Macaca mulatta: one gene and its partners. The protein of the gene in region 3 binds, or shares a complex with, the protein of the main gene of each other region. Links are inferred from orthologs where the notes say so. Each region holds a gene or a part of one and is shown on either strand. Other genes may lie near its edges.

Region 1 (4,301 bases), on a different chromosome or scaffold from region 3:
AGGATCAGTCATTATTTTCTCATCCTCTCCTCCCCACTCTCTCCCACCAAAAAGTCTTAGAAGCGGCAGCTTCTAATCAGCCTGAACTTTCTGACATGGTTGGGATCCAGTTCAAGGTTATGCAATATGAAAAGATAAACAAAATAAAGGAAAAATGTGGAGACTGGAGTACCTATTAGGTGATTTTAAACAATGGACACAGCTCCTAAAGAACCCGCTAATTCAGTAAAAAAATTTTTTAAATTAATTTAGTTTCAACCACTCTGTTTTATCATAGAGACAAAAACTGGTTGATTTGCTGATTGTTTTCACTTACTATGTTTTGGCCTAACATAGAAGTCTTGAAACAGAGCTGACTGTACTGATTGTTGGCAGGAAGTAACCTGCATGTGTGGTCTCTTAGCAAATTATATGGGGACTGTTCCTAAATGACAGGGCTCTGTGCTTGAGGAGTCTTCTGCACTCAAGGGTCTTGGCCTGCTTCTTCCTTCCTACTTCCCCTCCAACTTCCCCTACATCTTCCCCTCCCACCTTGTCCACCACAAAGCTTTGTCCCTCAGGCCCTTCATGGAACACCTCCCAGGCAGGTATAAAGCACCCAGTGTCCCAGGTTCCTACAGAGGAAAAAATCCTAGGCAGACCAGTTAGGGGATCCTGGAGTGGAGACGGGAAAAGCAACAGCAAGGTGTGACTGATGAAGTTCTGTTTTAAGGAATAGGAACTACTGTGGTGTTAAGTTCTGGAAATCCAGAGCATTTCAGAAAACAGCCTGCATTATTTCCTCTCAATAACAGACTACCTAAATGCACTTGGAAGATCCAGTTTAAGGGGAAAGATAGGTGTGTTTAGAACTTGTCATGGACTGTTCCCCAATGTGCCTTTTCTTCAGATCTCTGGGATAGTTGAAGCAAGTAAATGAAATGTCTTCTCGTTAGTGGGCTCCCTACCCTGAGGAACACCTTGTGAAAAACATTTGAGGACAAGATAGGCGTTGCGAGAAGGAACACTGGAGATTAAAGGATGTGGGCAGTGGTGGTGACATCATTTTCTGGCTAAAGAATCAAAAGACGGCGACAGAACATGTAGAGTGTGAAAGGCTATGAGTATAGAAAGGAGATAGCAATAGACACATGCTAGTGCAGGCAGTGCCTCTAGAAGATAAATGTTTGTATTATTTGACTTAAAAAATAAATATATGCATGTTATCTATTGAAAGCTAGAATGTTAAAATAATGATAAGACTCCATCAGTCTGGTATGCTTTTTCTCCCCAGGAAATACATACGGAGGCTGGTGATCAGGCCCCGGGAACTGACAGTCTAATTTGATGCCACTGAAGCAAAGTCCCCAAGGAATTCTGGCGGCTTGGACCAGGAATTCTGCAGGGACACTGACGGCCCCTGGGGCCAGAGCTGACGCCGTGGCCCTCCCCTCCATATTCATACACTCTGTGAAGCTACCTGTCCCCTTGTTAACACATGGAGAGCGAGTCCTTTCTGACTACATCACAGGCAGAAGCAAGGCAGAGGCACAAGAAACTACCGACAGCAGGCGTTTTGGTGTGCACTCCCGTTCATTGGCGTAGGTGACCCGCTGCCCCTTCTAGGGGACACTGAACAGTCCAGTTCTGAGCCGGGGAAAGCCTTGATCCTATAATGTGGTCCCTACTTTCCCCCACGTTCACGCCCAATGCTCCCAGGCTGGAGCTGCTCCGGCGTGTGCCCCTCGTTCGGCCCCGAGCCCTTGGCCCCCAGACCCCGCCACGGCCCCTCCCCCACTGGGGGCGCTTTCTGCCCGCCCTCCTCGGGTTCCCTGGTCCTACCAGCGCCTTGGCCAGGGCTCCCTCGCACAGAGGCAGCTCCAGCCCCTCGGCCGTGGGTCTTCACGAGGCTGGGCTTGTGTCTGATCTCCGGACGGCGCGCGGACCCTGCTCCCTATGCGAAGGTCACGGTCTCGGAGAGGTGTGCATGGCTCACTGCACTCCCTGCGCCCGCCTTCGGGACCGGCCGCAGCAGCCCCCGCAGACCCTCTGGGCAGCCGCGGCTGCCCCGGCCCCGGAGCTCCGCCCCTCTCGTGCTCCCCGCCCGCTTGCCCCCTCGGGGTCCCGGACTGCTGAGCCCAGCTCCCCTTGGAGCCCACTCGCGAGCTGCCCTCTAACCCCCACCCCAGTTAGTCCCCGTTCCCTCACCGTCTCCTTAGCCCGCAGATAGCTTAGCTGACTCTTCAGGGTCGCTGAGGGCGCGTCTTCCGTTCCCCGAGGGCCACACGCCGGCTCGGGTCCCCAGCAGACGGTGAGCCCCGCGCTCAGGTCCTCTCCTGCCCTCTTCCGTGCCGAGCCAGGGGTTCCCGGCTCCCAAATCCTGTTCCTGCTGCCTGCTGTCGGGGAGGTCCTCTTCCCGGACCCCTACTCCTTGGCGATGAAAAGAGACTTAGAGGGCTTACGACGCCACCAACGTTCTCTGTGCCGAGGGTGGCACAATTTTTTTTTTTCTGATATAAGGCCAGAGATTCACAATAAAATAAATACAAATCGCGTGCCCAAACTCTTACTTATTGTGCAAGACTCAGGTCAAGCGTTACCTCGGTGCTGACAAACAGCTCCCTGCTTCCACTCTCCTGCGCGAAAGGGCGCGCGATCCTCCCTGGCTGCAGCCAGGCGCCTGTTCTACCCGACTCCACAGCTCGCTGCTTGGAGGCCCCGACCTGGCCTTGCTTATCCTTGTCCCTAGCCCCTGGCAAGGTGCCTGCCACCCATCACAGCACTAGAATATTTTATGAATAAGTGGAAAATTAATTTCTTTTGTAGAAAACCATTTGCGTGTGTGTGTGTGTGTTTGGCTTTTTACCCTCAAATAAAGCATACTCCTTTGGGTGGGCAATTTGCTAGTCTCTATAAAGAAACACCAAAAATATCCCCTTTAATGCAGTATTCCATGCTTGGGGAAATTTCCAGAACAAAATAACATTCATGCGGAGATGTTTTTTAGGAGGATCATTTACTACAGAAAAAAAATTTAAAAACCACAAAAAGTAAACAGAGCCAAACTGTCAACAGTAGGAAACTGGTTGAGTAAATTAGGGTGACTTAATGGGATATTATACAACCGTTAAAATGATAAACATCAAGACAGAAGTGCTTCAAATTCTTTTTAGAATAAGGAGGGAGTATGTATTTATTTATAAAGCAAAAAAGGGAAACATGAAGTAACATGATAAAATGTTTGCAAATTATTGTTAAGCAAAAAGCAGAAAATTGGGTCATTTACCCATGTTTAATAACTTCAAATAAAAATGCAGATTTCTTCTCTGCAAATCGGCCATAACATCTACCTCAAGGGGTCCTTGGAGTGTTCAATGAAATAGTCAAGGAAAGTGCCTAGTATAGAATGGATACTCAACAAAGTTTCCATTTCTTTTCTTCAATGGAACACAGACTCAAATCCAGCATGTCAAACACATCCTCATTATGGCCCAATTCTACCCATTTGGCTTCCTTTCCCTCAAATACAGCGTAGGAGAAGGAGCTGAGCAAATGCCAAAGAACCAGGGAAGGAGGAAAATCTAGTTAATAGGAATAAACGTGAAGTCCTCCCTCAGGCCGAAACACCTAGCAATACAAGTTGGTAATGGGGGATGTGGCTCAGTAGTGCTCTACATCAAAATACCTTAGATTTTATTTTAGTTGGCTACAAGCACAACCTTGTGAACACCCAAAGGCTGAATGAGTTCAGTTCAAAACCTGAATGAGGCTGCAATCTTAGGCTGAACTCATCCTCTTCAATGGTCAGGTTACACCTGGGCATAATGTCCAAATCTGAGCACTATCTTTAAGAAAGCATTACTCTGAAGATCTATTATTGCTTCCATTGTAAAGATGAAGAAACTATGCATACAGTTTCCAGTATTTAGGGTTGGGCTGCTAGGAGTTGGCAGAGCCAAGAGCTGAACCAAATCAGTTTGACTTACAGTCCTGGTGCTTGATCACTTTACCAGTGTGTCCCAGTGTGTACATCTTCCAGTAGAGATTGGAAGCATGGTATTGGGTGGTACACAGACAATAAAATTAGATAACAGTGGATCACAAGGTGAAAAAAGATATGCCCTTCACTTCTTTTGTTCCTATGGATTATGTCAAAGGAAGGAGTATCATTTTTGTGGTATTTGTCTTTGCACCCCTGTATAATACTTGGTAATCTCCTGTTTTAACAAAGAGAGAGCTTGCCTCTCGCTCAGAACCTTTGCTAGGCAACAACTCCTAAGTAGAATTTAATATCATCACTTTCTCTTCCATCCCCTTATGCA
Region 2 (4,255 bases), about 80 Mb from region 3:
CATTGTCTCTTTCATCGTCTTACATTCCTGCTTTTCAGAGTGAGACACCACGTTCAGACCACCTATTCCCTTCTTGCGTTCTGTACACAGTGAGGGAAGCTGTTCTGATACCAGCTTCTCCTAGTCAGTTACTGGCTTCCTGATTCACTACCCAGCTTTGAATCAATAGTTCTGAGCGATGTTTCCTGAACACCCAGGCTGAATTCAAGGTCAGTCTTTATGGCAGGTCAGTCTTTCCCCTTAGGAAAAAGAATGAAATGTCCTCCATTTCTGGGCTCCCTTTTACATTTCATGTAGCATGAGGCTCTGTGGTGATTTGAGGCTTTTTACACAAGTCCTGGTAGAATTCTGACTCCAAGAAACGGGGATAAGAGTTGTTCTCCATCAAGCTGTATACCCTTTTCTGGGCAGTTGTGAAGCAGCCACTTGTAGCTTCTTGTATATTCTGGGCAATCAGAGTTTTGGTTTGAAAATCTATGTTTATCTGAAATAAAACAAAAAAGTTGTTTATTTGGTGTTCAGAGTTAAAGATTAAAATTTAGTATTTGAAAACAAAAAATAAAAATTATGTGTGATTAGCTTTACTACCTAAGTCACAGAAGAACTTTAACATAACTGAAAGCTACAACATGGGGGGACTTTTTACCCCTCCTTCTAGCCCCACTTTGCCCTTATTTTGTTTCACTTTTGTGCTAAAAATGTCCAGATTGTGCTCAGTTTAGGAACTTGTTTCCTTACCTCTTTTGGAGCTTCCTTTTCTATAAAATCAGTATATATTTTCCTTGCTTTTGAGGACAATTTTTGGGGTGATTTGGTTTTTTTGAAGTCTTCACAGGCCAGCCAGAATTCAATATTTTCTTCACAGAATTCCGACTTTAAAAAAGCCCTGAATGCAGCAAGACCATCTGAAGGGGGGAGAAAAGAAAGCATGCAGAATGTGAAGAACCGAGTGACCAAATGATTCTTTATGTTTCTCCTAGTACTTCTCCCTCACATTTTAATTATTTCTAAATGACAGCAATTTTCTAGATTTCGCTTAAACCTGTAATTCTCAAAATTTAGCTTTTTAAAGACGAAGATACCAGTAGGCAAAATGCTTATGTTGGCCCTCTGCTGCAAAAATATAAGTACTTTGCTGTCAATGCAAAGTAAATATTTATAGGGGAGACATAAATTCTCTGGGAACTAAGCCTCTTGAAAACATTGTATGCAATGGAAAAACTGACTCAACCTTAACTATAAGCAACTGCCACTTTAATTTTTTTAGGCTGATTTTCTTCCCCACCTGGAGGAAATACATGCATTTATTTCCATGGTTAAACCCTGGGAAATAAAGGAGAGAAAAACAGGCTTTATCCAATAGTGACTGCAGTCTAATCCCCCTCAGGCAAGCTGCTCTTTTGTTGTGTGGACCCAGCCTTTGCAGGCTTTTGCAATATTAGCAATGGCTAAAGTTCAAGAGTTAACTTACATTTGCTAGCTAGCAGCTCGTCAAATGCTTCTGACCACAGCTGTGCTTCCTCAGGAGAAGGTCTGCAAGAGAGGTTCTGCATGTTAGCTTATGCACATCAGAGTTCCCCTTTTCAGTTCAGCAACTAACTATTAACATTTGCAAGTACAGGATTCTCAACTTACTTGATGAAAGCTTGTTGTTTGCTTTTTTTGCCGGTTTTGGGTTTCCCAGGAGTAGAGGAATTTTGCAAGAAGTAGCTCAAACGGGTCTTCCAATCTTTTAAACTAAAACAAACAAAAAAATTTAAAAAAGATAATCACTAAGTAGCAACACTTGAATATGCTACTGCAGCTGAACGCATTTTTACCAAATAAAGTCACCCAGTAACTAGAGACAAACCGCATAAGGCAAAGCAAGAACTCTTCAAATAACAGTCTTATCCACTTAACATTTAAACCTCATGTACTGAGCAGTTTCATCCATTAAACTGATCGTATCTACTAGTTTTACAACTAAGGGCAGGGCTACCTACAATCACTAGGGTATTTTAAAGAATTGTTAATGAATTTAGTTCAAAAGGCAGATACTATTTCTGGCTCACAAAGGGCATCAGTTTGTTTGCAAGGTTAATTACAATTCCGAGGGGTTTTACAATTTAATGAAAAGGACAGACGTGGAACTGTCTGGAGCCGGCCCACGCTTCTCTCTTTAGAGCAAGAGGTTCTGGAGCATGCCAGAGACAGTGTACAAGGAGGTGGGTGACTGATTCCCCTGCGCTCTTCCTTCCCCACCTACAACACTTCTTTTAAGCAGACGCTGCAGAACAATTATTTGTTCCACATTCATGACTGGGTGAGATCTGCTCTATAATTAAAAAACAAAAATGGATTTTAAACGAGTATATTCACAACCAGCAAGAGCATCTCCTTCCAGGAGCTGTGTAAGCTGATGAGAACTCATCATGCAACGTATGCATGCTGGGGACGCGCTTCAGCCGCAGGATTCTGATGTCATTTTGAATGCAGGAGGACAAAAAGCCAACCCGCAATTTCTTAGCGCATCCACCACGGCCCTCATATCAACTATCTCCCTCGGTTCCTAAACTCTACCCGAGCATCACCCAGATTTAACCTTAACAAACTGACCTTTTCGATTTTTTTTTTCCCCTGCAGAGGCTCGGGCTAGTTTCCTAACATCAAAGCCGAGCCCAAAGTACCGCGTTTGCAGCTCGCAGTGTGTGGCAGGGGTGGCGGGAGAGGGAAGAAAGCCATACTCACAGGGTCCGTTTCATCTTTTCCCGCTTCTCCTCGCTCTTGTGGCCGCTGCCAGCGCTAGTGTCCATAGGTCTGCAGTCGTGTTGAACAGCCAAGAACATAGCACTTTGCATTATCGTCCTCCCGCTGGGGCCGCGGCTGTTGGCTGCTGGGCGTGCGTCGCAGCTTTTATAAGAAGCCGCGACTTGGGGGCGGGGCTTCGCGGCTCCGGCCCCGCCTCAAGAGGACGCGGATTGGTTGGTTGCAAACGGGCACTGGGATGGGGGTCAGCGCCCGCCAGCGGCAGTCTCGGTTAACGCCGAAGGGTCTGGAAGCCAGGGCGCTGCTGACGTCTGCGGCCCGGGCTTCTTGCGCACTCGGACTACATAGCAGCGGCCAGCTGGGGCCGGCGTGCGAGCAGACAGGGACTTTTCAGTGTGGGCTGTTGCCCACGACCTTTTGCTGAAGCGTGGTGGCCAGGCGGGGGCTTGCGGCGGAGGGAGAGAGCCGAAGTTGGCTGCGGCCTGGCGGAGGCTACGTCGCTCCCTCACCCACCCACCCTGACGGGCTCCCCAGCCCCAGGCCAGAGCGGCGATTCCCTGGCAGGAGGAGGTCGCCCGCCGCGAGGCCGGAGTTCAGTGGCCTGATTTTGAATGAAGAGTGGGATTTTTCTTCTTTTTTTGAGCGCGTTCCCTGACCCCGCGCCTCATTTCTTGTTTGCTGTCCTACTGTAGGGACTCATTCGACACACCCTGGTCAATGAACTGAGGCTACGGGGAGACCCTCCCCCGTTTCTCTCTGCCACTTAATTTAAGGAAGGTGTAACCTGAAACGTTGACTGCCCGGGGGCAGGGTGGGACCTGCTCTGCAGCTTGCTGGGGCGTCTTGAAACACGTTGGGAATGAACATTAGGGATTGAACAAGAGAAGGTGACTTTATCAGAAGACAGTGCTTTAATTGGATTTGCATTTTTGATCACTACTAGGCAAGTGGCTGGGTCTGTCTATAGGGTCATTCCTCAGGAGCCCTTGGTCACATCTGCCAAAATGGAAATCACAAGTTTCCTTATGGTGGGAGAGAAAGCTGGAGACACAGATATTTCAGAGCTGTAATGCACTAGAATCATGAGTTCAAGGAGTCAGGATTTCCTCATGAGTCATTCTTGTTTTGAGTTAGGATTTACCAGAACTTTTAATAACTGGCAAAAAGTAGGGGGAAGGAGGAGTTAACAGTTTCCTTCATTAAGTTTTTTGTTAATTCTTCAAGTATCATCTCTACTCCTGAAGGTTTTAAAACGACTTGATTGGTAAAAACAAATAGATTACCTCAACCACAAAATGAGTTGATTTCGTACAATATTACCAGAACTAGCCAATGAAATGTTTAAGCGGCTTTGCAACCAAGCTGCAGATATTTTCTCTAGATAGTATTCGACTTGTTAAAAGAAAATTGGAAATAGTTAATATATTCTTACGGTGAGCTGCCAGTAGTTGGAGCTCCAAGTTTGACTTAGAGGGCAAAACCTGCAGTTATTTAAGACAACAGTTGT
Region 3 (3,551 bases):
TTTCTTCTTTACACAGAGACTAATGGCTTCTTAAATGGTCCAAAGCATAGGCACCTGAATTCTGAAACATTGTCCATCACAAATCTCCAGCATTCTCCAGAGGAAACACACAAGGCAACTTTTAGCTTCTTTGACTACAAATGCCGAAATTTTTTTTCAGGCTAGTAGATTTAATGTTTCATCTCACATTTTAGCCCTGCTACAAGAAAATATCTTTTGTTTCAATACAAACCAGTGATTTTCAAGCCTGACTGGTAATCAAAATCACCTTTTAAAAATTATAAATTGCCGGCCGGGTGCGCTGGCTCACACCTGTAATCCAGCACTTTGGGAGGTCGAGGCGGGTGGATCATGAGGTCAGGAGATCAAGAGCATCCTGGCTAACACGGTGAAACACCGTTTCTACTAAAACATACAAAAAAATTAGCTGGGCGTGGTGGCAGGCACCTGTAGTCCCAGCAGGAGAATGGTGTGAACCTGGGAGGCGGCGCTTGCAGTGAGCCAAGATAGCGCCACTGCACTCCAGCCTGGGCAACAGAGCGAGACTCCGTCTCAAAAAAAAAAAAAAAAAAAAAAAATCGATTGCCAGCCCACCAGCCAAAAGTCAATCTCTTAGATGGGTCCAAGTGATTTTTACTTAAGTCATATTAAAGACCACTGACTTAAATTGTCTCCCTGTGTCCTCAAGGAATGTGCATTTAGATAAGTTATTTGGGATGGTGAAATAAAAGTGATCTTCATGTAAACAAACAGAGAGCAAATGTAAATGGTACAAAGGCAGAAAATGGGGACCTGCTATTTTTCTTTAACAGAAGGGCTAAAAATTTAACATATCAGATAGATATTCAAATGAAAATACAAATTCAAAATAAAATGAACTTTTTTGGATTATTGGTTATTTTAGATTATCAATAACACCATTCCATTAGTCCACAATATAGAAAGACTAAAGTTGAAAATAATATTCCACCAGTTCTCGTTTCCAGATGATCCTATATTACAGAATACAATAAGGAAAAGATATATTCAAAATGAGTAAGAACTACCAACCCTGTTTACATTGTGGGCATTGAATCAATCACCAACTGAAGCTGATAATTTTCTTTCAGATCAAGTTTTCCCAAATCTAAAGGAAATTTCATTATATAATACAGTTATACCATCTGTAAGCTATGATTTTCCAAAAAGAATCAGAAAAAAAGTTAAAAACAACCAACAAAGGCACTGAACTGCTATGACTTGCTTTTTTGTTGACACCAACCTTTTTCTGTAAACTAGTGAAAGGTCACATCAAAAGATGATATAGAATCCAATCCGAAAACATTGGACCCCAAAAGGCACTGCTCAAACTTTTGATTTGAAATGCTCAAAATGCATTCTCTTCATTTGTCTTCCCCCAATAGAGCATTCAATATTTAATGACATTTGCTGTACATTATACAAAAGGGTCTGTAGGTTGAAGTGAATATAACTCTCCACACAAGCAAAATGTAAATCTGCAAAATGAATGATGATCACATTCACTTGTATGCAGATATAACATAAAACCTAAGGTTCAACAATACTATTACACCAAAGGACTAGACCTTCAGGAAACCCTTCTACCTAAACCCATTCTCAGACAAAGGCTAAAACACATTCTGCAAAGGCAAAAGGAAACAGAAGACAGTATTTCCATTAAAGACTAGTTACAAACAGGAGCAAACCTGGGCTCTTTACTCACCATTTTAATACTGCTGCCAACTATAACAGATTAAAAATGTACACATGACAAAGTGGAAAAAAGTCCCAAAATGCAACAGTTTCAGCAAAAGAACATACTGACTAAGGATTACTACAGTTAACATTGCTACAGTAAAAACGATGGCAAACAGGGATTTGGCACCACATTTACAAAGTAAAAGCATGCACTGTTAATACACTTTAGATGTCTCTCAACAGAAAAGGCCATGAAGATGGAAAACAAGAGGCACCTTGTACAAAACTCCCTATAACTGAGACAAACAAGCAAGAATCAAAGTGGTCAATTTAGTAAATATGTAGCAGCAAAGTCACTGGTTCTGTTTGGAATTTAGCAATTTGCATTTCTGATTGGCAGCTGTCCCGGGCATGTCTGTATCCAAGAAGCTGACTTTATCATACTACATCACAGCAGTAATTTGGTAATCTGCATAAACAAAGTTAACCTTCAACCATAAGCTTAAAGAAAAGAGAGAACTAGAATCTTATTGCAGAACTTTCCAATGTAATTACCATATGGAAACCATAATGGTACTTTGAGCAGGATAATAACATAAATTTCATCAAAAAAGTTGTATGCATAGCCCCAGTAACTGGAAAGAATTATAAGTAATTATGGAAGTATTATATTCTGACCACACCAAGAGTTACAAACAAAGAGTTCCTACTAAAGAGGAATATTTTCAAGATGATCTGGTCACATCATGTGCATAGTTAACATTGTGTTTTAATAAAGATTCTTTTGCAAATAAAGAAATAAAATTTAGTAAAGTTATTCTTCTCTTGATGAAAAAACCCTAAAAATGAACCACTGGTGGTTTGTTAAGAAGGGGGAAAAAAAGAGTAAGCTACATATTGAAGTTCTAGAATGCAGCACCTCAACTTCACATCTTCCATAAGCATTTAAGATTAAGAAATCCAAGTGATGTCTTGATGATCAAATCACACTTTACAGTTCTTCCAATTCCAATGTCTGACTTTAGCATCTCATGTCAATTAAAAGTTCCCTAATATAGAAGATTGTGCTAAAGAGTGCTAAGATTCTGCATGCTGCTGCCATTCCCTGGTCCCGTTCATGCTTGTAGCTGCCCCGTAAGACAGCAAAAGGTGTCTGGTCTCAACACTCCACACTGTAGTAACTAGAAGAGAAGAAGATTCTTAATTAGAAAAACTTTACAAAGCTAACAGACATCACTATAGCACTATAACTACCTTGTATGAAACTTTACCTTTCACTAACATCCATGCTTTTCAATAAAGTCCACATTCCTTTAAGTTGTTTTTAATGATGACATCTGTAACAGCATCAAAAACAAACTGCACATTCTTCGTGTCTGTGGCACAGGTGAAGTGAGTGTAGATCTCCTTGGTATCTTTTCTTCTGTTCAGATCTTCAAACTGGCATTGAATATAGGCAGCTGCCTCTTCATATGTATTGGAACCTAAAACAGACACCCCGTACTCTCAGTTCAAATTGTAACAGCTGCCTGAACTCAACTAAGTCAGACCATTACCATTTACTTATGGAGAGGAAACATAACCCAATTAAATATGAATAGAATTCTCTATTTCTATAATCATTAGATGTTTCTATAATTAGGTTCTTCATGAGAGTAGACTCTCATGGTAACTAAAATAAAATCATCACACACAAAGATTGAAGAAAACATAACGTTGTTTCTCTTTACCCTTTCATTTAGACTTTTCAGCTAAAAAAAATCTAGAAAGTATAAAGGGAAACTAGGAAAGTAGGAAGGTGCATTTCTAGGGAACACAACTGCTTCAAAGGTCTGAGAGAGGCTGTGTTCCTT

The links. Proteins that work in one complex are often made in the same cells at the same time.
Region 1: the proteins of GNAI3 (region 3) and CASR are in contact, whole or in part, in a cryo-EM structure (PDB 8SZH), measured with the Homo sapiens proteins. The link is inferred for Macaca mulatta from reciprocal best matches to the Homo sapiens genes GNAI3 and CASR. Residues at the interface, in NP_006487.1 of Homo sapiens: Ala31, Lys32, Gln304, Glu308, Lys314, Asp315, Thr316, Lys317, Glu318, Ile319, Tyr320, Thr321, Phe334, Asp337, Ala338, Thr340, Asp341, Ile343, Ile344, Lys345, Asn347, Leu348, Glu350, Cys351, Gly352, Leu353, Tyr354; in NP_000379.3 of Homo sapiens: Lys644, Ala645, Asn647, Arg701, Val702, Val705, Phe706, Ala708, Lys709, Pro711, Thr712, Arg716, Trp719, Phe801, Ile869, Val872, Arg873, Thr876, Ala877, Ala880, Phe881, Lys882, Val883, Ala884, Ala885, Arg886.
Region 2: the proteins of GNAI3 (region 3) and RGS2 are in contact, whole or in part, in a crystal structure (PDB 2V4Z), measured with the Homo sapiens proteins. The link is inferred for Macaca mulatta from reciprocal best matches to the Homo sapiens genes GNAI3 and RGS2. Residues at the interface, in NP_006487.1 of Homo sapiens: Val179, Lys180, Thr181, Thr182, Gly183, Ile184, Val185, Gln204, Ser206, Glu207, Lys209, Lys210, His213, Ala235, Glu236, Asp237, Glu238; in NP_002914.1 of Homo sapiens: Glu104, Phe105, Glu108, Asn109, Glu143, Ala144, Pro145, Glu147, Ile148, Asn149, Asp151, Phe152, Leu180, Asn183, Ser185, Arg188.

What each region holds. Positions count from the first base shown.
Region 1 is NC_133407.1:161,582,601-161,586,901, forward strand, and holds the start of CASR (extracellular calcium-sensing receptor), read right to left. Parts: upstream 2,859-4,301; 5' UTR 2,188-2,858; intron 2,071-2,187; exon of another isoform or gene 1,822-2,070; intron 1-1,821. UniProt on the Homo sapiens protein: G-protein-coupled receptor that senses changes in the extracellular concentration of calcium ions and plays a key role in maintaining calcium homeostasis.
Region 2 is NC_133406.1:50,335,238-50,339,492, reverse strand, and holds the start of RGS2 (regulator of G-protein signaling 2), read right to left. Parts: upstream 2,859-4,255; 5' UTR 2,841-2,858; coding exon 2,731-2,840; intron 1,738-2,730; coding exon 1,636-1,737; intron 1,534-1,635; coding exon 1,472-1,533; intron 906-1,471; coding exon 739-905; intron 485-738; coding exon 290-484; 3' UTR 1-289. UniProt on the Homo sapiens protein: Regulates G protein-coupled receptor signaling cascades. Inhibits signal transduction by increasing the GTPase activity of G protein alpha subunits, thereby driving them into their inactive GDP-bound form.
Region 3 is NC_133406.1:130,609,399-130,612,949, forward strand, and holds the end of GNAI3 (guanine nucleotide-binding protein G(i) subunit alpha-3), read right to left. Parts: intron 3,183-3,551; coding exon 2,992-3,182; 3' UTR 2,970-2,991; intron 2,880-2,969; 3' UTR 547-2,879; downstream 1-546. UniProt on the Homo sapiens protein: Heterotrimeric guanine nucleotide-binding proteins (G proteins) function as transducers downstream of G protein-coupled receptors (GPCRs) in numerous signaling cascades.